7 separate regions of the Mus musculus genome follow, and all the other regions are reported to be linked to region 2. Evidence: microRNA targets listed by miRTarBase, many of them from high-throughput screens and not tested one by one. Region 2 holds a microRNA gene; each other region holds the end of a gene's coding sequence.
What was found. The annotated mature microRNA mmu-miR-466o-3p reads UACAUACAUGCACACAUAAGAC and lies in region 2 at 2,250-2,271, opposite strand. An mRNA with a match to its seed (bases 2 to 7 or 8) in the 3' UTR can be bound and repressed. Matches are read on the target gene's strand: a 7mer-m8 pairs with bases 2 to 8, a 7mer-A1 pairs with bases 2 to 7 and ends in A, and an 8mer does both.

Region 1 (4,058 bases), not on the chromosome of region 2:
GCCTCATCCCTGCTGTCCACCTGGGTGATGGCGTCTTCCTTGTGGCACCACCACCACCACCCTCGCCTAGCGGGGCCCTGTCAGAGCTCCCGGGTGGCCTGCGCGCCGAGGCTCTGTGGGGTGTGAACACAGCACGTCAGGAGCAGAAACTGCTGGGCTGGCTTCAGGAACGGGCGCCTCCAGGTGCCTGCTATCTCAAGTGCCTGCAGCTGCTTAAGGCTCTTCGAGACTTGGGTGCCCGCGGGCTGGACCCGATGGCTGCTACACACTGGGGACGTATCCTGTCCTCTTACGTGCTCAAAACGGCGGTGCTGGAGGTGCTTCTGAACGAGGGCAGCCCAACGCCCAGCTGGGACGAGGCACACCTGAGTGAGTGCTTGGAGAAGTTGGTGAAGTTCCTTAGGGACTGCCTGCTGAGACGCCGAGATCTCTTCCATTGTGTCCTAGGTCCGACTGGGGCGGCTGCCGAGGTTGGCCCCCTGCCCAAGGTGCTGCGGGAGGCCGCTCCTGTTGACCTCCTGGCGCCTTTCGACCCGCACTCCCGGGAGCTTGCAGCAGCGCGGTTGCTGTCCACGTGGCGAAGGTTGCCCCAGCTTCTCCGAGTCTACGGTGGTCCCCGCTACCTTGCCAGGTGTCCAGCACCCCGGAGTCAACGCATCCAGGGCTCCCCTGAAGATGAACCATGAACCCTGATTACACTCCACCTGACCAAATGCCCCTTTCCCATGAGATGAGAGAGCGGATGGCAGCTAAATTCAAGAAGAGCTGTTCAAGGTGTGGGAAAATTTGAAGGATGTCACAGGATTTGATGGCACAAATGTTCTGTCCTAGGCTCTATGGCCTAAGATATCAGTGGCATCTTCTGCAGACCTATTAGAGTATCTTGGGTGGTCTCATACACAGATGTCTCTGACCCCGAATTATTAGAAGCAATCACCTTTGATATACTTATTTGGTAAATACTAGGTTCCCAATTGATCCCTAGTTTTGGAGGGGTGTTGTATGTATGTTTCAATGCTGGGGCTAGAATCCTAGATCCCTATGCTAGGTGGGCCCTCTACCACAAAGCTACATCCTGGGCTCCCAGTTTTTTGTTTGTTAGTTTTTGTTTTGTTTTTAAAGAATAATTATCCACAACTGGAATTGAAATTCTAGTCCAGCTGTTAGCATTCCAGAGTCCTGATTTAGCTATTTCCATGAGCATGCATGTATTTTTTAGTGGTGCAATCACAGGTTTGTTGAATAAGATTAATGGAGTTGTTATAAATTAAGTGACCAATGCTAAGAGGTGGCCAAGAGCTGGTCAGAGACTTTCAGAGCAAGTGGCACTTTATGTCTAGTCATTTTCTTGTTCTGTGTTTGTTGGAACCAAGGGCTATTCAAAAGAGCTTCCACACAGTTATCTGAAAGACCAGGGCTCTGAAAAGCAGCCAGCCAGCCACCATCAGCACTCCTCCAGGTCATAGGTGGGGATTTGCACTTGACACTCAATACCTGTTCATTTGAGCCAGGCAGAATGCAGAGGGAAAGATCCTTGATTAAGACAGGTCTGGCAAAAGTGTAGAACATAAGTCTTTTAGAAGCTCCTGCCTAGGGCTCATCGTAGGCTGGATACAACCCACTTAGGTCTCAGAGCCTCTGAGCAAAGGCCCCGTAGGCTTGTCTCAGAGCATAAGGACCTCTGAGGAGAAAATGCTTGGTGTGCTGCCTGGGAATGGGGTAGGGTCCAGTGATGTCTGATATCGGGGTAGTGGCTGGGAGGTTCTTGATTGCCTAAGCAGCCTTACATCGTATTGAAGGCCAGTCAATTCTTGCTTCTGCTTATGACTTGTAAAATAGTAGCATGAGGTGTGTGCTTGGAGACCTGTCAGTCTCCAGCAGTGGGCAGAAGAGATAGGCGACAGGAGCAGAGGGAGAAAAGAGGGAGCTGGCTTACAGTCTTTGCCCTTCTCAGTTCTGAACTTCCCTGGCCTGGGCGCCCCTTGCTGTTGGGAGGATCCCATCCTCGAGTGCCTCCTATCCTCCTGCCTTCCAGACAACTTCCAATAGCAGTTCAAGTTTAGAAAGCTTCGTCTTCCTCTCTCCTCGTGGGAAGTGTGGCCAGTCTCAGTAATACACTTAGGGATTTTTTTTTTTTAACAACAAAGATCTGAGCTCCCTTAGACTCCTTAAAGTGAAAGTTGGAAGATAAAAATAGTCACATGAATGGGGTCATTGTTTCATTTCTTAGCTATGTGGAGGGAACTCTGCAAACTCTCTTTGGGGCACCCGGTTGGCAATCGAGGGGAATAGAGTGTAGGGACTTCTCATTTGTCCTTTGCAACTCTGACTGAAAGAGAGTTGTTTTGGAGGCCATCCCTCTTGATACCCCAGAGATCATTCTTCGTTTTTTTGAGGCCAATATTTGGTTATAAGGTACGGCATTGGATGAAAGGGTTGTTCTGTCAGCCTCTTGCAAAGATTGAAACTGCACAGTCGGTTTGATTTTAATTACTTTAAAAAGCCAATGCCAAGGGAAGATTGTGCATGTGTGTGTGTGTGCATGTGTATGTGTGTGTATGTCTGTGTGTTTGTGTGTTTCTCTGTGTGTATCTGTATCTGTGTGTGTGTATGTGTCTGTGTGTATAATGCACACATGATTTCTACATTCAGCCTGTTGCTGCCTCTGTAGTCATTAAGTTAGAACAGGGGAGAGGCAAATTTCCAGCTATTTCTAGCTTAGCTAGAAATTTCTAGCTAAGGAATCCCTTTTTTAAAAAGTCTTGATAATATTTTAAAGTATAAATCTGGTTAGGATCATAAATATGAATAGCTTATATAAACGTATCTTTCTTGTAGGGTTTTTTCTTTTTTTGTATTAATTACCCAAAGCTTCATCCATCCTCAAACTTTTAAAGTTTATTATTATTATTAAATTAATGGGCATTGTGTTTGTAAATTTTTTAAAAAATATTAATGTTTTATTTAAATGCCATGCTGAACAGTTGTTCTTGCCATGTGGCAACAAAAACAAGAGATTTCGATCAATTTTGATCAATATTTAGTGATCTGAAACATGTACTATGTACAGATGCAATAATACGGCTTTGAACTGAGTCCAGTGGCTGCCCAAGGCCTTTCAATTCAGCTCAGTTCTGCATTTCATATGGCTACTGTCATGGCCTCTATCTGACATGCACACACCTTTGGTGTATATTTGGTGCTGGAGAGTCATATATGCCAATATTCTCAGATACGATGGCTCTACCAAAAAATAAAAAGAGTTGTTTAGCCAGTGCCCAAAGAAAATCGTTTTTTTGAGGAAGATGACTCAGCTCTTTTGCGTCCAGACACCTCAGTAATTCCCACTGCCCAGCTCGGAGCCTTCCTGGAATGCTCATGGGCTGGGAGAATATGCGTTTTGCAAATGAAGGAGAGGACAGTGTGAATGGATGCAAATATTCTCTGAGGATTTGTGGGGAGGAGGTCTTAAGGTGTATGTGAAAGGAAGAGTTGGGAGGGAGAAGGGTGAAGACACCTCAAGGGTGGGAGAGAGTTTTGGGTGAGGAAATGTGTTTTTAAGTATGTGCTAGTTCAGGTCAGGAGTTACAAACTTAGCAGCCTAAAGGCAGGGAGATAAATAAGAGGGTGGAGGGTGTGGGGACTGTGCCTACCTTAAAGGAGGCAGCTCACCTCAGCTCCAGACTGGAAAATAAAGGGCTGGGCCAACAATCGGCATTTCAAATTAAAATACTAACGCTCACTGGTTTTTAATTTAAGAAGTAATTTAAAAAGTCTGAAACCACCAAGTGAGCCAGATATCTGGTTGAACCTGAGGCCAGCAGTTTGCGACCCCTTGCCTTACACAGTTAGCCTTCTCCCAGGTATGTATAGGCTTATATTCTTTGCCATAGAGACAGTGGTTAAATATATATAAGTGTGGGGGGGGGTGTTAGTTCATTTCTACTTTATCTCTCAGAGTTAAGCTTTGTTATAGGAATAACAGCAGAAAAAAACAAACAAACAAACAAAAAAAACAAAATACAGCCACAGATAACATTTATCCCAGTTCCTGGTAG
Region 2 (4,068 bases):
TCATTCAAATGTATAAATGAATGCAATTTTTCCTGTGTGTATGTGCTTGCATATACACGTGTGTTTTTGTTATGTATATTCATGTCAACACATGCAATGCACATACAAGTAAGCACACATGCACATACATGGGTGGCATCACATGAATACCAAGATAATCTCCAAATGAAGTTAAGCATGAAGTTGCAATCCTTATCCTCCTGACTTTGTCAATCTTTTACACCTGGTGAGTGAGTCCATTCAATGTCCCCTATTGCATAATCTCTAAAACTCTACATCACTTATCATTCAAAGGGATTGGCGAATGCCATTCCTGTGTCTGTGTATGTGTGCTTGCGTTTATACATGTGTGTGTATGTTATGTATATTCAAATATAGACATGAACATGCACACACAACTATACACACATGCACATACATGGAGGAATCACAGGCTGATCTCTCATGAGGATAAGTATGAATTTGAACTCCTGATACTCTTAACTCTAGCAAGCATTTTCACTCTAAGTCACTTATCACTCAAATGGATTGATGAGTGCCATTCCCATGTGTCTGTGTGCTCATATGTGTCTTATGTGTGCGTGTATGTATATGTATATCATATTCACACATGTACATGTACACACACATCAACACATACACACATTCATAGGGGCAATCACATGAATGCCAGGATGACCTCTAACTCATCATGCCTTTACCATGAACTTGCACTCCTGATCTTCCCGACTCTACCAAGGGTTTTCCCGTGGTTTGTGAGACCTCACCCTGGCCCAGTCATACATAACCTCCAAAGCAGTAGGTCACATATCATTCAAATGGATCCGTGAGGGCCATTCTCGCATGTCTGTGTGCATGTGTGTATAGGTGTGTGTATGTATATGCATAAAATATACACACATATACATGCACGCACTTATGCACAAAGGCACATGCATAGGGGCCATCACATTATTCCAGGATGATCTCTAACTGCTCATGAAGTTAAGCATGAATTTGCACTCCTGAGACTCCTAACTCTGGCAAGCAGTTTTCATCTGGTAAGTGAGATGTTTTGCTATCCCATGAATATACACTCAATGAAACTCTAAGCATGCATAAATCAAATGGATGACTACCATGTGTGTTTGTGTGCACATGTATGTGTCCATATGTGTGTGTATATGTGTATGTATGTATGTATATATATATATATATATACACATATATATATATATATATATATGCATGTTCATATACCCACATTTACATGCACACGTACCTATACACATATACACATACACGGGGACAATCACAGAAATTCCAGGCTGTTCTCTAACTCATCATGAAGTTAAACATGAATTTGAACTCCATATTCTCCTCCCTCTGGCAACAATATTCACCTCCTAACTGAGACATAGTTCTGGCCATTCCTGTGAGTATGTGTGCATACAGCTATGTGCATATTCATGTAGAGAAGTGAATATGCACACAGCTATACACACATGCACATTCTTGGAGGGCATCACATGAATCGCATGCTGATCTCTACTCATCATGAATTAAATATGATTTTGAACTCCTCATCCTCCTGACTCTGGCAAGAGTACTCACCTCCTAACTGAGCCATAGCTCTGGCCCAGTACTGCATAAGCTCTAAAGCTCTAAGTCACATACCATTCAAAAGGATATATGAGTGGCATTCCTGTGCGTGCATGCGTGTATATGCATATTCATATAGAGAAGTGAATATGCACACAACTATACACACATGCACATTCTTGATGGACATCACATGAGTCGCATGCTGAACTCTAACTCATCATGAAGTTAAACATGAATTTGTACTCCAGGACCACCTGACTCTGGCAAGGGATTTCACCTGCTGAGTGAGACCTCTCCCTATTCAGTACTGCAGAATCTTAAAACTCTTAGTCACACGTCATTCAAATGGATCGATGAGTTGCATTCATGTTTGTGTGTCTGTGTACATGTCTATGCGTGTGTAGATATGTATATTCATATACACAATCCACACACAGGTACACGCATGTACACATACATGGGGGCATCACATGAATCCCAGGCAGATTTCTAAGTCATCATGAAATAAAGCATGAATTTGACCTCCTGACCTCCTGATTCTAACAAGCATTTTTAATATGATGGGTGATAACTCTCCCTGACCTAGTCACACATAATCTCCAAAGCTCTCAGTCACATAGATTGATGAGTGAGTGCCATTCCTGTGTGTCTATGTGCTCATATGTGTCTTATGTGTGCATGTATGTATATCATATTCACACATGTACATGTACACACACATCAACACATACACACATACATAGGGGCAATCACATGAATGCCAGGATGACCTCTAACTCATCATGCCTTTACCATGACCTTGAACTCCTGATTATCTTGACTCTGGCAAGGGTCTTTACTTGGTGAGTGAATCCTCTCCCTGGCCCAGTCATACAGAATCTCTAAGACTCTAAGACACATATCATTCAAATAGATCGATGAGTGGCAGTTTTGGGTTTGTGTGCATGCTTGTATGGGTATGTGCGTATGTATATGTATACTCATATACACACATGCACATGCACACATACATATACACACAGGCACATACACTGGGGGCATCACATGAATCAGAAGCTGATCCCGGACTCAACATGAAGTTGAGAATGAATTTCGACTCCTGATCCTCCTGACTCTGGCAAGATTTCCACCTTGTGAGTGAGAGCACTCACTGGCCCAGTACTACATAATCTCTAAAACTCTAAGTCACATATCATTCAAATGAATAAATGAGTGTCGTGTGTGTGTGTGTGTGTGTGTGTTGCGTGCGTGTGTATGTGTGTGTGTATGTATACATATATTCATATACACACATGCACATGCACACACACGTAAACACACATGCACATACATGAGGGGCATAACATGAATGTCTGGATGATCACTAACTGAAATTGAGCATGAATATGAACTCCTGATCCTCCTGACTCTGTCAACAACTTTCACCTGGTGAGTGAGACCGTTCATTGACACACTACTGCATAATCTATAAGACTCTAAGTCACATATCATTCAAATGGATCAATGAGTGCCATTCCTGTGTTTATGTTTATGTTTTTGTGTTTCCGTGCATGCGTGTGTATATGGGTGTGTATGTATATGTATATTCATATAGACACATATACATGCACACACAAGTATACACACATGCACATATATAGGGGGCATCACATGAATCCAGGATGATCTCTTACTCCTCATGAAGTTAAGCATGATTTTCAACTCCTATACCTCCTGACTCTAACAAGGGTTTTCACCAGGTGTGTGAGAATTGACACTGGCCCTGTCATACATAATCTCCAAAGGTCTAAGTCACATATCATTAAAATGCATCGATGAGTACCATTCCTACATGTATGTTTGCATGTGTGTGTATATGTGTGTATGTATATGTATATTCACATAAACACATGTACATGCATACACTTCTGCACACATGCACATAAACGGGGGACATCACATGAATCCCAGACTGATTGCTACCTCATCATGAATTTAATATGAATTTGAACTCCTCATCCTCCTGACTCTGGCAAGAGTACTTAACCTCCTAACTGAGACATAGCTCTTGATCAGTACTGCATAAGCTCTAAAGTTCTAAGTCACATACCATTCAAAAGGATATATGAGTGCCATTCCTGTGTGTGCTTGCGTGTATGTGCATATTCATATAGAGAAGTGAATATGCACACAGCTATACACACATGCACATTCTTGTTGGGCATCACATGAATCGCATGATGAACTCTAACTCATCATGAAGTTAAACATGAATTTGAACTCCAGATCCTCCAGACTCTGGCAAGCGTTTCACCTCCTAACTGAGACATAGCTCTGGATCACTACCGCATAAGCGCTAAAGCTCTATGGCACATATCATTTCAAAGGATATATGAGTGGCATTACTGTGTGTGCATGTGTGTATATGCATATTCATATAGAGAAGTGAATATGCACACAACTCTAACACATGCACATTCTTGGTGTGCATCACATCAATTGCAT
Region 3 (4,060 bases), not on the chromosome of region 2:
CTGGGGCTGGCTTACAGTTTCAGAGCTTTAGCCATCATGGTGGGAAGCATGGCAGCCTCTAGGCAGACATGGTGCTGTTAGAACTGGGAGTTCTACAGCTTGATCAGCAGGCAGCAGATCTTTTGAAACCAGAGTTACAGATTGTAGTGAGTCACCATGTGTGTGCTCATAACTGAACCCAAGCCCACCTCCACAGTGACACACTTCTTCCCACAAGGCCACACCTCCTTCAGTAAGGACACCTCCTAATAGTGCTACTCCCTGTGGCCAAGCATACAGACACATGAGTCTACGGGGGTCATTCCTATTCAAACCACCACAAAAACCTTGTCTCAAAAAACCAAGGGGAAGGGGACAAAACAAGACCTCTAAAACATAGAGTTTCTTTAACAAATGTAAAGAAATGCAGGGTTGTAAAGGCATGTGGTTGGAAGTGATAAAAACAATGAGGCAGGTTACTGTCACTGGGCCAATGGTTACAGACACACCAGAAAGTGTACTTAACAGGGACATTTATTTGGGGGTTTGTGTGTGTGTGTGTGTTCCTGGAACTCATATCATCAGGCTAGGGGCATAGTTCCTTCATCCAGCAAGCCATCTTACTGGTGTGCTTTTTTTTTTTTTGAGATAGGGTCTCATGTCTGAAGCCTGGCCTCAAACTCAATATATAGTCAAAGGTGACCGAGAACTTCTTATCCTCCTGACTCTGCCTCCCAAGTGTTGGACCTTGAGGCCTGACCTCTATCTCCCTGCCTCCCTACATATTATAAATGTAACTTAAAAAAAATTCTTAATGGTAGAGAGGTCACTTCTGGCGAAAGCTTACTGGTTCTTTCTTGAGCTAACAGTAACTGTTAAGAAAGACTGACAAAGGGAGAGATGTCTCAGCAGTCAAGAACACTGGCTGCTCTTCCAGAGGACCCAGGATCAATTTCTAGTACTCACATGGCAGCTTCTAGCTGCCTGTAACTCCAGTTTCAGAGAATCTGACACCTTCATTCAAGCATACATGCAGGCAAAACACCAGTGCACATGAAATAAAAATAAATAAATTGATTTTAAAAATAGAAAGAAAAACTAACAAGCCAGGTGGTGTTGGCATACAGCTTTGATTCCAGCACTTGGGAGGCAGAAGTAGGTGGACCTCTGAGTTTGAGGCCAGCCTGGTCTACATTCTACATAGTGAGTTCCAGGACAACTAGGGCTACACAAAGAAACCCTGCCTTGAAAAATCAATCAATCAATAAAATAAGTAAGTAATTATATTTATTTTTTTAGCACCCTGATGAAAATATACTAGTGGAGAGTATTCTCTTAGTAAGCTGGTGAGGGTTCTTATTTACCCAAAGCCCCAAATGATTCAAACACATTCACAAACTTAATGCATTGCTATGTAGGTCTCCCAGTTTGCTCAGGGTGAAATCACTTTGTTCCCAATGGTGCTGCCCCTGACACGCACAATAATAAAGGAATAACTCTAACTTTTGCTTCTCTTTGAAGGAAAAGCCACTTAATAAACAATATTCTCTCAGACACAACTATACACATACATTGTTTTTATTTTACACCACAGGGCCCAATTGTTTGGCCCTGAAACTGAAAAACAAGGCATAGAAAAACCAAGGCAGAGAAAGTACATTCTGGCATTATGGTCAAGTATCTGTTCTACCTAAAGAGAAAAGGAGTGCTAGGAACAGCAACTTCTACAGACAAATTCAAAAGACTTCCAGAGAAATCCAGAAAGTGGAACTTAAGACTCGTTTTTCAGTCTGTTCTGTTTAATTCTATGGCTTTTACATTTCAGGTCTCAGCCTGGCCTTGGTCATAGACTCCAAAAGCCATGGGTGTATTTGAGGACCCTAACCCTTATTCCTCGCCAACCTCTGGGTGCTATAGCAAACTAAAGGCTTCCCTGGACAATGTTGTCTTCGAGCCCAGGCTTGGCCTGTCTGAGTGAGGGCTGACACTGACTCCCACAGCCCCCGCTGCTCCTCAGGACTTCACACTGAGGCTCTCCTAGCACACTGTTATTTAAAATGACTATTTCTGCTCAGTCCCCTACCATCCATCCACCACACCAAAACATAAATAGATACATACACATTTGAAAAGGTTAAGTAAAATTAGCTTTTAGAGCCCAGTAAAGGGATGGCCCACTGAAGCCTGAAGAAACTTGAAGATTCTGAAACAGAAGGAAAAAAATAACACAGAAAACCAGTGCTTCCCCCAAATACTGAAGCCCAGAGGCCCTAGGAAAATTTCCTACATGTCTAGACTCAGGTGAGACTATCACATTTTTCCAAGCCAACTTTGGGAAGCCTGAAACTTTGGGATTTTGAAATTTTCCAAGCAACACCAGCCCACAGCTGGAAGAGACTCTTGCGTAATCTCATTTACAGACTTTTGCAGAAAAACTACACTCCACCCCAAATGTTCCTAGGTCTGCTGAATCCTTTCCATGTGTTCTAATTGAATTTATTCAAGATTAGTCACAAAGAACAAAAGTGTGTGCGTGCGCACATGCGTGTATCAGTCGGGCTGCAGGAAAGCAATCTGATGATGGTTGCAAATAACCAAAAGGACCAGAAAAGCAGCTCTAGCCAGACTCTCGGGAAGTCAGACTCACAGCCCTGGGTCAGGTGGGCACATACGCCCGACTGTACCCTACGCTGGTTTTTCTACATGTCTTTCACACATGTAGACAGCTGCACAGTAACTCTCCTTTAAGATGTCTGCAATGACTTCATGTCACTTCTGCCACCAGAAATAGGATGGTTCTGTAGGCATAACCTCTAGGAACTGATGCTCAGGCTGCCTTGGGGGCTATTTTTTCCTTGCTTGACTTATTTGGTAGGGGGATTTGACATGCTAAGAACATGTCATCACTGCCCTGTCCGAAGCTCCACGCTCGGCTGAGGAGAAGCAGCGCTGACGGCACACACTCCATGAAGGCAGCGGGCAGCCAGCGGCTACCTACAAACTTGCTTCCTTGACCCCAGGCTTTGGTTTTGTTGTGGGCTTTGAGGGGACAGTGGTTTGTTTTTGTTTTTTGAGACAGGGTCTCACTCTGTAATCTTGGCTAGCCTAGAACTCACCATGTAGTCTAGGCTGGCCTTGAACTAAAGATACTCCTGCTTCAGTCTCCCAAGTGCTGGGATAAAAGGCATGCACCACAACACCCTACTATGATATCAGGGTTAAAAGAAGAACAGAAATCTAATTCTACAAGGATGGAGAAAGAGAAAATGCAAACATAAAATTCCACTGCCATTTCTGTTGATTCTGTAAGGAGGAGCTGAGCTGAGTCCAGTTGCTCCTTGCAGCCGGTGTCCAAGTTCCCAGTTACAGGAAGAACAGGTTCCCACACAGCTGGATGGCTGGCTCATGATGCAAAATCTGTCCGGACAGGAAAGCTAGCTTGTGGGCATACTTGCAAGGAGCTGGAACTCGGATGGTACCAGGCCAATTCCAGTACATGTGGCATAGTTTGAAAGTCAACCTAAAGTTAAGAAGAAAATGTGTTATCACTTCTACCTCCACCTAGGGGTGGGAAGGATTTCACTCTCTTGGGGATACAACACAGCACTCCTACCAACAGACTGGGGGAGTCTGGGAAACCTACTGTTGTTTTTCAGGAATTGTTAGTTTTATAATTCTTTCTTTAGTTTGGTTTGGGGTACAGGTTCTCAACTATCTGGCTTATGCTGGCTAGTAACTCCACTAGCCCAGGTGGGCTTTGAGTTGCCAGTGATCTTCCTGCCTCAGCCTCTCAAGTGCTGGAACTGTAGGTGTGAGCCACTAGGTCTGTCCAAGAGAGAAACCATTATTTTTCATCTGGAGTTGTTTATATTTTCACATAAGCCAAAGGATGGGTAAAGTAAGTCAGCACAAGTGTGATGGTATCCAGAGGACCGAGTTTGGTTCCCAGCAACCATAAGGCAGCTCACAAGCATTTGTAACTCCAGTTCCAGGGGATCTGACACCCTTTTCTGACTTCCACAAGTACCAAACACACATGTGGTATACATATATGCATGCAGGCAAAACACCATACGTGTGT
Region 4 (4,068 bases), not on the chromosome of region 2:
AATTGCTATAACACTTCCAGGAATGCAGCTACTCAAGTATATAGAAGTGATAATATTCCCAGGAAAAAGACAGACTCCCTTTCCATTAACAAGAGAATATATCATTCTGAGCCTGAGGAGGGAGATATTCCTTATGGAGTTCCTCAGGATTCTACAAGAGCAAGTCAAGGAACATCTACATGCTTGCAAGAGTCACTTGGGGAATGTTTTTCTGAAAAAGACCCTAGGGAGCTACCAGGGTTGGAGTCTAGGCAAGAGGAGCCTATCTCTGATCCTGTCTTTCTTGGTAAGGATCATGAGGCAAACTTACCATGTGAAAGTCATCAAAAGAGATTCCGTAGAGATGCCAAACTATTCAAGTGTGAAGAATGTTCTAGGATGTTCAAACATGCCAGGAGCCTTTCGTCCCACCAGAGAACTCACCTGAATAAGAAGAGTGAATTGCTTTGTGTCACCTGTCAGAAAATGTTCAAACGAGTCTCTGACCGCCGAACCCATGAGATCATACACATGCCAGAAAAGCCTTTCAAGTGCAGCACATGTGAAAAGTCCTTCAGCCACAAGACCAACCTGAAGTCTCATGAGATGATTCACACAGGAGAAATGCCTTATGTCTGTTCCCTATGTAGCCGTCGCTTTCGCCAATCATCCACTTACCATCGTCACCTGAGGAATTACCACAGATCTGACTGAAGTATCTAACATCCTCAGCAGAGACTGGTAGGGCTTCAGCCTCAGTATGTCATCTTCAAAGAGAGAAGAATGTTGCAAGTAAATTGTACTGTCCCAATAATGATATAACATGCTTGTGGATTGCCACTTTTATGTTTTGTTTTTTATTGTGTGTGTGTGTGTATGTAATTTTTTGTCTGTAATTTCCATAGTTCCACAGCATAAGTTATTAGAATACTTTGCTGTTAATTCTTGAGTTGCTTCTTGCTTTTAGACAGTGTCTTTCTGGTTGGCAGCTTTATACACCTGTCTTTCTGGCACTAGAGTTTCCAAACATTTTCTGATCTCCACTTTTATTCTCTACAGTGGTCCTGACAGAGGCCTGCCATTCCCTCTGACATTTTTTAACATGTTGGGGTTTCATCCCAAGTCTTAGGGTTGCAAGTTAAATGCATTGCCTCTTCAGACATCTCATGTCATGTCTACTGCTTACAGTTCAAGAATATTTCTCTACATTACTAGAATGACGTTCAAAGTGGAATAATAAATAAAAAAATAATCAACAATTGCTCAGAGTAGTTTGGTGGGTCCTCCCCTACCTGTTCAATTATCATTCTCCCGACATTCTGTGTAGCTCTGGTTTCAGAGCACCTATGCACTTGGTTCAAGGAGCAGGATTTATGGATACTTGTCTCACATGATGAAAAATAGCTGACAAAAGCAAGTCTTTTTCCATGAATAACTTTCAAAAAACTAATGTTAAGAATGTGAAGTGGCATAAGAGTCATGTTGAGAAACAGGATTCTGTGCAGAGTTGAAGACAACAGGCACAGGCTAATTGAGTTGTTGGGGTCTGTGTATGTGCGCTTGCAATTCCCATGAGTTATGTAAGTTCCCATATCAGGTAGAAACATTGAGGATGCATTATGACTTTGCCACGATGTTCCTGGTGATACCTTTCAGCAGGCAATTAGAAGGCTTCAGTTTTAAAAGTACACAATGATCAGTATCCATAATCAGCTTCCAAATGCTGACACCATTTCATACACTAGCAAGATTTTGCTGAAATGACCCAGATATAGCTGTCTCTTTTGAGACTATGCTGGGGCCTAGCAAACACAGAAGTGGATGCTCACAGTCAACTAGTGGATGGATCACAGTGCTCCCAAGGGAGGAGCTAGAGAAAGGACCCAAGGAGCTAAAGGGATCTGCAACCCTATAGGTGGAACAACATTATGAAATAACCAGTACCCCGGAGCTCTTGACTCTAGCTACATATGTATTTAAAGATGGCCTAGTCGGCCATCACTGGAAAGAGAGGCTCATTGGACATGCAAACTTTATATGCCCCAGTACAGGGAAACGCCAGGGCCAAAAAAACAAAAAGAAAATGGGAATGGGTGGGTAGGGAAGTGGGGGGGAGTGTATGGGGGACTTTTGGGATAGCAATGGAAATGTAGTTGAGGAAAATATATCATAATAGATATATATTAAAAAAAGTACACAATGGCCTTAGCTGACATGAATACCAACACAAGTTATACATTTCCCCACCTAGGATTTTATTGCTGGCATTGCTTGTTCTGGACCGAGTCACCAGCATTTGGTTCTCTAACCCTTTTGATTTGCCTCGTTTTCCGGTCTTTATTTTTCTAGTGAAGTTGGATAATTTTGTTCCTCATTGTTTCAACATTAACGTTTAATGGATTTGAGTTTTTGGTTTAGTTTAGCTTTCTATATTTTGAGATTATAGCCTTTGCAGGATTTCAGAGGTTTGGATTAGCTTCAGTGCCATATTCAAATAAGGTTGCATCCTAAGGTTAGGGATTAAGCCTTGTACAGGTAAGCATCATAGGTAGAATTCAGATGATAACACTGTGCTATCCAGATATGGAGAATCCCTGCAATCCTTGTACCTGGCATCTGTCAGCAGGAACACTAGAATCCAATCATTCTCTGTTAAAAGACTCACAACATATCTTTCCTAAAAACAAAATGATAAAATAAATAAGTAGCCTACCATCATCACCACCACCTAAAACAGGAAAAACAAACAAACAAACAACACAAATACCAAAAACAAAAAAAACCAAACAAACAAACAAAAAAAAACCCTCAAAACACCATCTCACACAAACCTGAGAAAATGGTGTTACAATACCTTAATTCCAGCAGTGTATAAAGGCAGAGGCAGGTACTTAGGCCTGGGCAGGGCAGGTGCCTATACATAGGCATAGGCAGGGGCAGTGGCATATCTCTGATTCTGTGGCCAACTTTCAATAACAGGTTTCTGAACCTATGTGAGGAAACCTCATTGTGGCTAGATGACATGCTCATAAGGTTTAATGTCAGATATTTACATTACATTTCATAAAATTTGCACAATTATAGTTATCAAGTAGCAACAAACATGTCTTTGTGGTTGGGATTCATCCCAGCATGAGGAACTGCATTACAGGGGTGCAGAATTTAAAATGTTGAGAACCACTCTTCAAGAAGTTGAGAAAGAAGGGTCCAAATGGCTGAAATGTAAATAACTAAATAAAAAAATAAAATAATTAAAAAAAAAGAATAACAAGTTTTAACCAGACTGTGGTGATGAATGTCTTTAATCCCAGTAGAAGAGGGTGAGGCATGCCGATCTCTGAGCTGAGGCCAGCATTAATTAGAAAATTCCAGGACATGCAGAGCTACACATGGATACCATGTCTTTTAGGGAAGGTGAAGGTTAAGAATACCAGTTTTTAAATATGAATACTTACTTTTCTCTTTTGGAAAGATCCATGAGAGAAATCTCTTACATCAGACTCTGAATTTTTTTCCTTTTATTTACCATGATGTTATCTGAAACCTTGATAAAGAGAATGATACAGCTATTACATTTGTGATTGAGCATAACAGAGTCATTCATTCTCTACAGTTTGCTTAGTTTTATAACCCCTTCACAGCACAAACACATTTTTCTGATGAGTTGTTAGTGTCACTCCTATCTATGGGTATAGATGGAATAGTGTAAAGAGTGCTATACCACTACTAAGCATATACCCCCCCCAAAAAAAGATCAAACATATAACAAGGGCACATGCTCCACTATGTTCATAGTGGCCTTATTCATAATAGCCAGAAACTGGAAACAACTCATATGTCCCTCAACAGAAGAATGGATACAGAAATTGTGGGACATTTACACACTGGAGTACTACTCAGCTATTAAAAACAATGGCTTCATGAAATTCACAGGGAAATGGATGGAACTAGAATAAATCATCCTGAGTGTTGTAACCCAGACACAAAAGAACACACATGGTATGTACTTACTGAGAAATAGACTTTAGCCCGAGAACTCAGAATAATCACATTACAACACACATACCTTATGTAGATTAAGAAGAAAGA
Region 5 (4,058 bases), not on the chromosome of region 2:
ATATGTAGCAGATATGCAGCTTGGTTTTCATGTGGTTCTCAAACAACTGGAGTGGGGGATATCCGAAAACCCATTGCCTATATATGTAGGATATGTTCTTCTAGCTTGGCTCCCTTGTCTGGCCTCAGTGGGAAATAATACTTCTAGCCTCATGATGACTTGGTGTGTCAAGGTAGGTTGGTAGGTAGGTAGCTACATAGATAGATAGATAGATAGATAGATAGATAGATAGATAGATAGATAGATAGATAGATAGAAGATAGATAAATAATAGATTGATGTTAGACAGACAGAAATATAGACAGACAGCCAGAGACATGATAAAAAATAATACCCAAAGAAAATGTGAGTGAAATAATGTTTTGTTTATTTTAAATAAATTGTAAACTATAGAAGGGCATTTTTAGAAATATTATTGAAGAGTTTACTTATCCAGATGTGTTTGAATTTGTAATACATCTCTGAAAATATCTTGGAAAATTAGGATTGTCAAGTAAAAAGAATGGATATTTTCTGTTCACCTCTTTTGCTGTATTTATTGTTATTGAAAGTAGGAGAAAAAGAAGCACAGCCCCTTTTAGTAGGTCTGTAGGTCATAAATTTTCAGTATTAACTTAATTGACATCTTTATATGAATTAGGCATTTATAATAAAATAATTATATGTTTGCTTGGAGTCTGTGTCTGTTATATGACAGATGTTTTTTATAATAATATATAAAAATATGCCAGAGTCCAAGACCCAATAGGAAATTCTGAAAGACACAATTGGGACGTCTAACTTATCATAATGTCATTAAATTCATATATTATTCTCATGACTGAATTGAAAATTTTCAGCTATGTTATTTCAATTAATGAAAACAGTAATGTTAATTTTCTACTCTGTCTGCCATAAAAAAAACAAAAATCAATAAAAACCTTGAAAAGTACTGCCATCAACATAACCCCAGCACTTTGTTGAAGATACAAATGGATCTTTTCTGTCTAACTGTCAAAACTATTTAGAACCATTTTTACATATGTACATATTTATAATAATGTAAGCTATAATGAGACACTCAAAGGGTGGGACAGAAGTATAGCTACTCATTTTAAAGATGTATTTTCTTTTCTCAATTAGTTGGGTCATGGGGTATGTGAACACACGTGTAATGCGATCTAAGGAGTCCTACAGAGAGTGTCAGAGCTCCTACAGCACATATCACAGGTAATTGTGAACTACTATGTGGGTGCTGGGAACTTGAAATCACGCCCTCTGCAAGAGAAATATGTGCTGTTATCCTCTGAGCTCTCTCTGCCACCCTAAACTGTTCTTAACGTCTGGGCAACATTCACAATGGAGAGCAGCTTACCATTTGCCTTCAAATGTCACACCACTTCACACTTCTGTACCCATCCTGAGCCTATTCACAAGAGCCTTTGTTGTACAGATTTGTTTAAGAAACCAGGGTATATTTTATTTCACTAGATGGGCAATATTCACACTCTAAAACTCGTTTGGATAATAAAGATGTTACTGAAAGGGAATTAACAAAATACATTTATTGGCTCGTGTAATACTTTTATTAAGGTTGATGGATTACTTTTGATTTTCGTGAGGAAGGTTTTAAGGTCAAGGTTGTCTTCAGAGCGAATTCTGTTAGTAGGATGAAGCTGTGACCCTGGTATGAGTACAAATCATGCAAAAACACACAGTGAAATCATACTTGAATAGAAAACGGGGCAGCTGAATGAGGCAAAGAACAGCGAGGTTTTTTTTTTTTTTTTTTTTTTTTTTTTGGTTGTTGTTGTTTTTGTTTTTTTTTTTTGTTTTTGTTTTTGTTTTTGTTTTTTTGCTGAGAGTTTGTTTCCAGAAGGTGCTCCTTTTATTGATGTTGTGAACAGACCTGGTTTGCACTCTACTCAAATACTGTACAAAACTGCAAGAAACGCCACGATTTGACTACTTAATTTCTACAAAAACATCATCGTGAGGTTGCGTTTTATTTTAAAAGTCAACTAATAACTGCTAATGTACACATCGGTCATAAGTAAATTTAGTTTTGACAGAAACACAGTTAACTTTAGCTTATTTCAGGGGCATATTTCAGGGGCATAAATAATATTTCATATATTAAAAGAAAAATGAATTTTTACCCATTAACAATCAGTAATTTTATAAAATTGAAAACCATGTTTTCTAATTTAGCTATGTGAGGTGTGTGTGTGTGTGTGTGTGTGTGTGTGTGTGTGTGTGTGTGTGTGTGTGTGTGTGTGTGTGTGACATAATCTACAATCTTTTGATAGTGTCCTAAAGTCATTGTTTAAAAATGTTCAACTCTTACCAAAACCTCTTCTGGTATACAAAGCTGCTGTAAATTCGAGTCAATGAAATTGAAAGTTCCAATTTACAAAAGCAGATTTACGTTAATTCTTGTCTGAAAAAAAAAAAAAAGCTGCTTTCCAGACAGAAAAATGTGCCAACTAACTGCCCTTTCCTTTAAAATTAGCGGCTTCTGAGCCCTGATGAGAAGCCTTAAGGCAGAATTTGCAGTAAACAGGAAAGAAGAGAATCGTATAAGTGCTCCTCTGTACCTGGGACACCTATGAATTCTCATTCTTGGAGTTTTTGGCACAGCTTTCTAATCTGATATAAGTGAACTTCACTGCACTCCATTTCAGCCAAGATGGCAGCTTTCTTCCTTTCTCCAGCACCAGAAAAGTTCAGCTGACAACACATACCTGGAAAGTCCATATATCATCATCATCATCATCTTCTTTTCTTCTTCTTCTTCTTCTTCTTCTTCTTCTTCTTCTTCTTCTTCTTCTTCTTCTTCTTCTTCTTCTTCTTCTTCTTCTTCTTCTTCTTCTTCTTCTTCTTCTTCTTCTTCTCCCTCTCCTCCTTCTCCTCCTTCTCCTCCTTCTCCTCCTTCTCCTCCTTCTTCTCCTCCTCCTCCTTCTTCTTCTTCTTCTTATCCTCCTCCTCCTCCTCCTCCTCTTCCTCCTCCTTCTTCTTCTTCTCCTTCTTCTTCTAAATTTTAGGTAGTTTCCAATGATTGAAGTGAGCTGAAAGGTTCATTACTACTTTCAAATAAACTCTGAAGCTAAAAATAGAATGACTGTGACATTCCAATAGTTATTAAATTTAAATGTAATTAACATCCTTTCATGGTGACTCATAGTTATTTGAGCTTGTCATGCTTGTAATATGTACATGGCTATAGATATGCTACATAGTAATTAAACACTGGTTTCACATCTCTAGCTTTCTCCTTGTGTGTGTCAAGCTTCCAATGACACTAGCAGGGGTTCTAAACACTCCTAAAGCAACCAGGCCAGAGGTTTGGCTGTTTCATATATTTGAGTGGCAATATTAATCTCTGATCATCCTTAGGCAACAGTAGAAATATTTTTCTATGTAATATCTAAATCAAAGGTTTCCCAAAGTGTGACATGGGATCCCGACTTTCATTATAATTAGAACATTAAGAAATAAATAATGGGATCTGAAACCCACTTTAAACTAGTTCCTAGGTAAATGTGTTAAAAAGGCAATGGCTCTTTTGGCACGGGATGTTTTCTGCCTGTATTTCCATGAGTTAGCAAATGCAGGTCTCCTTTAGAGGTCTACTGTAAGCTCTACCATTATATATATATACATACTATACATAGTGGGTCATAAATTAGCAGTTATTAGTCAGACTGTACAAAGCAAAAACCAAAACCAAAACCAAGTATAACATTGCTATACAGCCCAAAAGTAACCAAGTCTAGTTTCATGGACTGACCCCTAATACAGGCTCCCTGTTTAAATAGGTAGCCCAATAAACTAAATTAAAAGTACCAAACAGAACTGGGAACACTATTCTAGACATCCTGTCGATTTTGCTGACACTGTTGAAGGTTTTCTTGGCTTCAGCTGGCTTGTTCTCTGGCTTCTTGTTCGGTTCTGGCGTCGTTGCACTTTTGGAAATGGTAGAGAGGACAGGATCTTTGGAAAGATTCGGGGCATAGTTGGCAACAGCTACCGCATAGGCGTTGTTCTGTATCATGACGGAGCCTTTCTCTTTTTTCTAA
Region 6 (4,063 bases), not on the chromosome of region 2:
AGTTCTTAGCTCCCTCACTGGAACTAGAACTGGTTTGTAGAGGGAGCCACACCCCCACCTGTGCCACAGGTGTGCACTGAATAAGTAAATGAGGGTATGGATGGAGAATACTCAAGGTCAGACACTAGAAGGTTGGACACACAGAAGCACCCTGATGGTCATGGGGGGTCCCAGCTCCCTCTGCTGGGCATCCCATAACTGGTGAGAGCCCCCAGCCTTGCTGATGGGGTTCCACAAACCTCAACTTGCCTTCTGTGGCGTTTCTTGACTTGTAATCATGGGCAGCCCTTTCTGTGGTTGTTTGAATCTCATTCCTGCCGTTCTCTTGGTTCCTGCAAGCATTTGGTTCCCCTCGCTTCTCTGTGTGTTTAGTGCCCATCCCAGTACTGCAGTGTGGTAGCAGACACCCAACAAATGCTTGAGGAATGAGTCCCTACAGCTCCACCCTCAGCAACTTGCCCTTCACCATCTTTTAAACTCTTACTGACTTTAAACTACTCAGGTCCCAGCAACTCACCCAGGGGCAGGGCTGGGCGAATCCTGTACCTCTGTGTCCCTCAGTCCCACCTTTCCTTGCTCCTTAGCTTTTTCATCTTTTCCTCCCAAGACTGAGGCTGGCATCACTCCCAGGGCCTTGCTGTATTTGACTGTTACAAACCAAGTACTATTCACTTCTGACGGCTTCTATATTTCCTTCAAGTTTCACATTAATAAATAATAGCAACAATAAAAAGGAGCTAACATTTCTTAGCACGTACCATCATACAGATGTTACATTTATTAATACGATTGGGCATTTGTAACATTTTCATGGGATAGAAAGATTCATATACTTCTTACAGATGATGGACGGCTCTGATGTCAACCTGCCTAGGTCACGTTGTGTGTGTCTGTGTGTGTGTGTCTGTGTGTGTGTGTGGGGGGGGGAGGAAGAGGGAAAGAGAAGAGAGAGAAGAGAGAGAGAGAGAGAGAGAGAGAGAGAGAGAGAGAGAGAGAGAGAGAGAGGATGTTTTTTGCTCCACACCCGGCCTGGGCTCTGTGTAGGCTGCGCTTCCTACTACACTACACTACCCCAGGTCTTACTCAGCACCTGGCCTCAGCAGGAAAGGGCCTGCCTCTCCCCTCTTCCCCACTGGCTTCTCTTTTAAATCATTGACTGGGGAGAGCTAATCTGCCCCAGAGTGTGTAATTAACGGAAGACTAGACAGACTGAGAACTCCATCCCCCCCTACTCCTTATCTGCCTGTAGGGAAGCTGGACCCCTCCTGGGGTGCTCTCTCTTCCTCTGCCAAGACCCTGCTTCCCTCACTACTTTGTTCTGAGGTTCTAGGGTCTGAATACATCCCAGCTCTCTAGACAAAATACCAGTTGGCTCTATCAGCTGGCAGGAATGCAGTGACTCTTGCAGGCCCCTCCCCTCATTATTTCTGAGTCCTGGGAAACCCTGCAGGTACCCAGGCTAAGAGGGGGGCTAGGGTGGACAGACTGAGGGCATGAAAACGGGTAATGTAAGTGGTGTGTGGATAATGGAATAGGCTTAGAGTACGTGCATGTACTCTGGCTGACAGTGGCAGGAGACTGTGGGAAGACAGGGGAAGACATTCATACCCCCATAAAGAAAGAAATCATGCAGGCTTCAGTGGGCTGGACGGAGCTGGAAGAGCACTTGAGCACCTCTAGCCTTAGGCTCCAGTCCACCCTGCAGATCCTGGCCTCGCTCTGAGTGGATCTCCACAGTCAGCATTGTGTGGGGTGGGACAATGGAAAAATTACCCAGGAGACAGGAGCCACAGACCTCTCACTGATCCAGAGGGCCACCCTCCCAAGAGTAGGAAGCAGGCTTGGGACCTGTGAACTCTCAGCAAGGGAATGGCAACCATGCCCACATCCCTTCTCCTGTACCCCTATGCCCACACCACTGACGACAGCACTGGAAGATGACTGGGGAGCTCCTGCCCACCCCCTCCCTGGAGCATGGGGGCTACTGAGGATCCACGTTGTGGGTGCACCCCCCTCACGGTGAGTATGTACTGCAGGACTCTGGGCACCGAATGCAAGGGGTAGAGAGGCAGTCTTGAGAACCTGTCTGCCAGGGGTTGGTGAAGGGACCCAGGAGGAGCCAGAAACACCAGACTGAGGTGGCCACACTTGACAACCCTTGTACATGCCCATGTTACTAGGCCTTCCTGGTCCCTCCCAGTGAAGGGCACTCTAAGTTAGGATTCACAGATATTTCAGAAAGCTCTTCTAGGCAGCACCTATGGTTACTCTGGGAGGACTGCATCTGTTATACCCTGCCCGCTTCTGTTTGTTGGTCCAAAGGGACCTGCATCTCTCCCTGTGAGGGTGTCCTCCCCTGCACTCTCACCCTGCCACCACTGGTTAAAACAGACCCAGGGTGCATACACTCACTTCCTCCAGCCCATTCCATTACCCAGGATCATGGATGTCCCTTTTCATTTCCATATCCTGACACGCACAAGTCTTCCTTTGACTCCAGAGACTTCAGACCTCTTCCGGACTCTTGATATGCATCTCCCAAGCCTCTCCAGGCTGTCTATAGACAGGGGTTTCCAGCCTCTGGCTCTAGTGCTGGATGGGAACTGTGGCCAACTTACTAAACATCTCCCTCTTCTCCTGGCTGGGTTACTGAGTTGAAATAAGATGTGGATGTAAAATTGGCTTTGGCTCCAAGACTGGGTGCACTCAGTGCTTAGTGAAGGAAGAGGAGCCATACTGAGACCCTGGGGAGTGATTAACCCTCTAGCTCTCCCTCAGGGACTCTACAGAACACCACGCAGACTCCAGAGCCTGTCCCCCAGCCCCAGAAACAAGGAACTTCTGAGAACTCTATTAGATGCTCAAAGCAATGGGGCTGAACTACAGGAGAAATCGGGCCTGGATAGCCTCGCTGTAGTTTCCCACTGACCCCCAGGAAGTTGTGAAGGTCTAGCAGCCCCCTAGTTCCCTCACTGACATGAGGAAATCAAGGAAACCTGCTTTGGGAGGAAGAACGAGCAGGGGCAAGAGTCATCTTATTGCCTTTATTTTGCTGTCTGCCCAGCTGGCCCCACTACAGGGCACAGGGCCAAGCTTGTACACACTCATGCTCTCTGTGCAGGCAAGCATGTGCACAACACACACATACATACCCCCACCCCCGTCTTTCACACACACACACACACACACACACACACACACACACACACACACACAGTCTCTGGCTCTCTGAGTCAGTCTCTGGGAGGCACAGGCTGCTTCTCAGCCTGCTCCTGCCTGCCCTTTTATGACAGCACCAAGGGTAGGCAGGGCCCTCAGCCCCCATCAAGTCCCTGTGCAAACTGGAGGTACCAGCTGGCTTCAGGATGGGGCACCATATCTCCCCATCCCCAGAGTCTCCTCCTCCACTTCCTGGGGGAGGGAGTACTCTCTGCTTACCTGGTGGGGTCAGACCCCTGCCAGGGCTGGGGCCTGAAGAACCCAGGCTTATCCCCACCTGACCCTACCAGGACGTCCATTACTGAAGCGCAGCCCAATCTGAGTTGTGAAGACTCCCCACTGGAGAGCAGGCAGGCCTGGGCCCCAAGGCATCTGGGGAGGGGACATCACCCCCTCTTCTAATCCATCTTCAATATGAAGAGGTTTGGGGCACACTTCCTGGGAGGGAGCACAGGCCTGGAGAAGTCACAGCTAGGGTCCTCCCCCAAACTTCCATCTTCTGGGCCACAGCCAGAGGCCAGGCATCCAAAAGTCCAGCTGGCTGGTCAGAATCCTTGTGCAGTCCTGGGGGGGCACCCCCCCCTCGTTGGAGCTGAGTGTCAGACCTGCACAGGCAGGGTCTGGTTCATCTGCAGCCGCATGTCCTGGATACTGCAGAGGATCTTCTTCTGGTGCCCAGCCAAAGTGACCCCAATCCTTAGCAGATCTCTAGAGACAGAAAAAAATGGTACTCAGTCCCTCCCTTCTACCCGCGACGCTGGGCTCAGCCAGAGTTCCTGCCCAGAGCCTGCACCTTGAGCGGTACACTTACTCTGCAGTCATCTGGGCCACCAGGTCAAAGGAT
Region 7 (4,068 bases), not on the chromosome of region 2:
AAAGTGTAAGAAGGTGGATTTTGGAACCACATTGTGTGCAAGCCCAATGAAAATACTGACTGTGCGGAGCAGTTGAGGTATCTCCTCATTCGATGTAAACGTCTTCCCACTAACTGTTTCTTTTGTTTCCACGTAGTCTCCAAGGATGGAAAGACCTTAGGCCAGAAGATTGAATCCTGGGAGTCCTCTCGGAAAGGGCATTCATTTCTCAACCACGTGCTCTTTAGGAATGGAGAGCTGGTCATCGAGCAGGAGGGCCTGTATTACATCTATTCCCAAACATACTTCCGATTTCAGGAAGCTGAAGACGCTTCCAAGATGGTCTCAAAGGACAAGGTGAGAACCAAACAGCTGGTGCAGTACATCTACAAGTACACCAGCTATCCGGATCCCATAGTGCTCATGAAGAGCGCCAGAAACAGCTGTTGGTCCAGAGATGCCGAGTACGGACTGTACTCCATCTATCAGGGAGGATTGTTCGAGCTAAAAAAAAATGACAGGATTTTTGTTTCTGTGACAAATGAACATTTGATGGACCTGGATCAAGAAGCCAGCTTCTTTGGAGCCTTTTTAATTAACTAAATGACCAGTAAAGATCAAACACAGCCCTAAAGTACCCAGTAATCTTCTAGGTTGAAGGCATGCCTGGAAAGCGACTGAACTGGTTAGGATATGGCCTGGCTGTAGAAACCTCAGGACAGATGTGACAGAAAGGCAGCTGGAACTCAGCAGCGACAGGCCAACAGTCCAGCCACAGACACTTTCGGTGTTTCATCGAGAGACTTGCTTTCTTTCCGCAAAATGAGATCACTGTAGCCTTTCAATGATCTACCTGGTATCAGTTTGCAGAGATCTAGAAGACGTCCAGTTTCTAAATATTTATGCAACAATTGACAATTTTCACCTTTGTTATCTGGTCCAGGGGTGTAAAGCCAAGTGCTCACAGGCTGTGTGCAGACCAGGATAGCTATGAATGCAGGTCAGCATAAAAATCACAGAATATCTCACCTACCAAATCAGAGTGGGTGTGCCCCTGTGTGTATATGCGTGTCTGTGTGTGTGTGCATGTATGTGTGTGTGTGTGTGACTGTTCTTTATGGTAACTGGTTATGTTTTTCTCAAGTGAAAAACATAACTCTATACATGATAACATAATATCCCATCATCAGTGGAACCTTGCCCAAAGAATGTATGAAATCTCCAGGCAATGAATGAGGGCAGCCCAAGAAAGAGGCCCGCAGAGCCATACCACAGGGCTGCCCCACCCTGCTGGAGCTCAGATCCTGCCACTGCTGCAGGCCCTGGGTACCAGGTGTAGAGTTGGAGGAGGTCTTGCCTGTGGGTCTAGGTCTTTGGTGCCTACCTCCTTGATATGGCCCCAGTCCTCCTTTGCTTGTTTGCTAGTTTTATCATGTTTCCCAGGCCGGCCTCAAGTCCAATATGTAGTCAAGAGTGATCTCTAACTGTGCAACCTCCTGCCTCCAAGATCTGCTGAGATTATAGGCATGTGCCCCCCTGTCTGATTTGTGTAGAGCCAGGCTTCTTGTACATGTGACAACCATGCCACCCTCAGCTCTGTCCCAGCTCCATTTCTTCCTTTCTGAATGCAAGCATTTACTTTGTGTCCCTATATTCTAGAATGTGCAACAGTGAAGAATTTGCTCTGACTTTCAGGATAAAGTTTGAACTAGGTTCACCATGCTTGCTTTGTCCAGATTGCGACTGTCACCCAGTCCTCTGGCTCTTCCATCTGTCTGTCCACTCCACCTACCAAGATGTTGAACACTTGTTCTTTTTAAGATGTTGGTGCCTGGAGTTTCATTAGAGTAACACAAAACTAACTAAAACCAAACAACTCCAAAGGAGCCCATATGTGTTTTAATGAAACATTTTTTAAGCCTATTGGGGGCCTGAAGAGATTGCTCAGAGGAAAACAGCACTTCCAGAGGACCCAGGTTCAATTCTCATCGCTGATGTGATAGTTAACAGCTGTAACTTCAGTTCCAAGGGGTCTGACTTTCTGCCCTTTGCTTGCAATGCATGTATGTGATACACAGACATACATTCTGACAAAATATATCCATACACAAAAGTATTTTTTTAAAAGCTTATTTGAATGTAAGAGTATGGCTAGCTGTCACTTCTGATACCCCTTCTTATTTTTTTATGACTCAAGCCCTTATAAACTAGCAAATAGAAGTCACAGCTACCACTTGAATATAAGCACTTGAATACCTCCTCTCACTAGAATACAACATAGCTTAATAGTAAAAATCTTGCCTTAGTAAAGTACTTGCATGTCATGTCTACATGAACCAAATGAATGTATTAATTAATAATAGACATAATGATCACATCGGAAAGGCTGTGAGAAATAATGGAGAACATTTGAAAGCTCAAGATGGAAGGGAAAGGCACTTGTCAAAAATCTTGACAACCTGAATTTGACCTTTGGCAGGGCTGAAAACTAAACCCAGGGTCTTACTCCCAGTAGGCATGAACCCCCACACTGAGCGGCACCACAGCCCTAAGGTTTTAAATGGCAGAAACAACTGAGCGCTTTTCTAATTCCTGGTCCCCAAGTCATCACTGATGGCAAAATTCACAGCACTTCATCTTGTCTGCCAAGCTGGCAAGCGAAATGGTGTCTGATTTCTTTTTTGTTTTTTTAAAGATTTATTCATTATTATATCTAAGTACACTGTAGCTGTCTTCAGATGCACCAGAAAAGGGCGTCAGATCTCATTACGGATGGTTGTGAGCCACCATGTGGTTGCTGGGATTTGAACTCAGAAACTTCAGAAGAGCAGTCGGTGCTCTTAACCACTGAGCCACCTCTCCAGCCCCAGTGTCTGATTTCTAATGTTTGTGTTGAACGTATACATTCTTTGTCTGCTGTTAATTCTATAGTAATCTCCTGTGAAAGATTTTATAACGCCCAGGCCTGGATTCAACCACAATCCAACAGGATCGGAATCCTGGGGTGGTGCTCAGAGATCTTTTTGTGCGTGCATTTTAGTTTTTTAAAGTAATTAGCAGGCAGCCTGCAGGACACATCTTTGCCAAAATGTCAAATGCTGTGACTTATAAATTAAATATTTAAGAATGCAGCATACCCAGAGAAATCATTAGATGTTCAAAGATTTAATTCGTGTGCAACATTAAATGCCATGACTTGTTTAAACAAGCACACCTAAATATTCTTTCTTCTGCTAGAATCTGAAGCCTGTGATGCAGGAAGCAAGAATGGAGAGAATATTCTAGAATAAGAACTTTCTGGGCGATTGTGAGCCCTTTAATAAAAGGCATGAATACTTATCTGTTTGAAAGAGAAATCAATTTGGGGTGGGGGCGGGGGTTGTCCTTTCTTTGCTGAGTTCTAGCCCAACAAGCCATCTGACTTGAAGACTAAGACGAGCCTGCCACCTGGGCAAGCACAGGGACAATGATCCCAGGGCAGAGGCCAGCTCTGCTGTTTTGAGAAGTGTCTAGGCAAAAGCTTTCTTTCTTTTTTTTTTTTTTTCAGACCAAAAGGGGCCTCTTTAATGTCACACACCATTAGTGCCACCAGGTGGCGAGGTTCCCTTAATTTCTTCAGTATCAAGTCTTTTAAAAGTGTATGAGTATAAACATCTTCAAATTCTCGGGTTTAAAAACAAAATCAAAAATGAAAAAAGGTCGCTTACCTTTAGACCATAGGCAACTGGAGCTAAAGACAAGAGATAAGCTGGTGTACCCCGATGGAGCAGCAGGCTTTAACTGAATCTGTGAGGAACAGGGTGGGGCTTCACATGGTAAAACTGAATCTGAGGTGTGTTCTTTTGCCTGTTTGGGTTGTTGCTGTTGTTACTGCTTTGTTTTGTTTTTTTGTTTTTAAGTGAAACAGAATTTAAGTCTTTTGGAAGACTTTTGTAAATTCTCTTGGTCCCAAGGGAGGGCTCTGTGACGTCTGGAGTCTCAACAGTTTGGTCTTTGCCCTGTCTCCTGTTATTATAGACTGTGGCCTTTGCCACTCCATCACTGCCTACTGTTTTTCTTGGAGACAGGGTCTCTCCCATTACGGGCAGC

Region 1: the mRNA of Itpripl2 is a reported target of mmu-miR-466o-3p. Seed matches in the 3' UTR shown: 8mer at 1,000-1,007, 7mer-m8 at 1,004-1,010, 7mer-m8 at 2,546-2,552, 7mer-m8 at 2,556-2,562, 7mer-m8 at 2,608-2,614, 7mer-m8 at 3,475-3,481 and 1 more.
Region 3: the mRNA of Piwil2 is a reported target of mmu-miR-466o-3p. Seed matches in the 3' UTR shown: 8mer at 2,094-2,101 and 7mer-m8 at 1,545-1,551.
Region 4: miRTarBase lists Zscan4d as a target of mmu-miR-466o-3p. Seed matches in the 3' UTR shown: 8mer at 853-860.
Region 5: the mRNA of Gabra2 is a reported target of mmu-miR-466o-3p. Seed matches in the 3' UTR shown: 7mer-A1 at 3,638-3,644.
Region 6: the mRNA of Ephb3 is a reported target of mmu-miR-466o-3p. Seed matches in the 3' UTR shown: 7mer-A1 at 3,146-3,152 and 7mer-m8 at 3,143-3,149.
Region 7: miRTarBase lists Tnfsf10 as a target of mmu-miR-466o-3p. Seed matches in the 3' UTR shown: 7mer-m8 at 1,067-1,073 and 7mer-m8 at 2,042-2,048.

What each region holds. Positions count from the first base shown.
Region 1 is chr7:118,486,355-118,490,412 of GRCm38, reverse strand. It overlaps Itpripl2 (inositol 1,4,5-triphosphate receptor interacting protein-like 2), which reads left to right. Exons shown (of 1, transcript NM_001033380.3): 1 at 1-4,058. The coding sequence ends at 686. Among named protein-coding and RNA genes, the nearest start is that of Itpripl2, 3.6 kb to the left of the region's middle.
Region 2 is chr2:10,470,792-10,474,859 of GRCm38, reverse strand. Mir466o (microRNA 466o) reads right to left here and starts at 2,320; the gene lies at 2,237-2,320. The region is part of intron 10 of Sfmbt2 (Scm-like with four mbt domains 2); the gene reads right to left. Mir669d-2 (microRNA 669d-2) reads right to left here and starts at 3,216; the gene lies at 3,131-3,216. Mir466f-3 (microRNA 466f-3) reads right to left here and starts at 2,907; the gene lies at 2,814-2,907. It also overlaps Mir297a-2, Mir467c, Mir466b-1 and Mir669a-3.
Region 3 is chr14:70,370,938-70,374,997 of GRCm38, forward strand. It overlaps Piwil2 (piwi-like RNA-mediated gene silencing 2), which reads right to left. Exons shown (of 23, transcript NM_021308.2): 23 at 1,540-3,499. The coding sequence ends at 3,343. Among named protein-coding and RNA genes, the nearest start is that of Slc39a14, 22 kb to the left of the region's middle.
Region 4 is chr7:11,158,546-11,162,613 of GRCm38, reverse strand. Zscan4d (zinc finger and SCAN domain containing 4D) reads left to right here. Exons shown (of 4, transcript NM_001100186.1): 4 at 1-971. The coding sequence ends at 693. Among named protein-coding and RNA genes, the nearest start is that of Zscan4d, 5.6 kb to the left of the region's middle.
Region 5 is chr5:70,958,045-70,962,102 of GRCm38, forward strand. Gabra2 (gamma-aminobutyric acid (GABA) A receptor, subunit alpha 2) reads right to left here. Exons shown (of 10, transcript NM_008066.4): 10 at 348-4,054. The coding sequence ends at 3,758. Among named protein-coding and RNA genes, the nearest start is that of Gabrg1, 120 kb to the left of the region's middle.
Region 6 is chr16:21,222,272-21,226,334 of GRCm38, reverse strand. Ephb3 (Eph receptor B3) reads right to left here. Exons shown (of 16, transcript NM_010143.1): 15 at 4,031-4,063; 16 at 3,031-3,927. The coding sequence ends at 3,819. Among named protein-coding and RNA genes, the nearest start is that of Ephb3, 20 kb to the right of the region's middle.
Region 7 is chr3:27,335,086-27,339,153 of GRCm38, forward strand. It overlaps Tnfsf10 (tumor necrosis factor (ligand) superfamily, member 10), which reads left to right. Exons shown (of 5, transcript NM_009425.2): 5 at 137-4,068. The coding sequence ends at 582. Among named protein-coding and RNA genes, the nearest start is that of Tnfsf10, 20 kb to the left of the region's middle.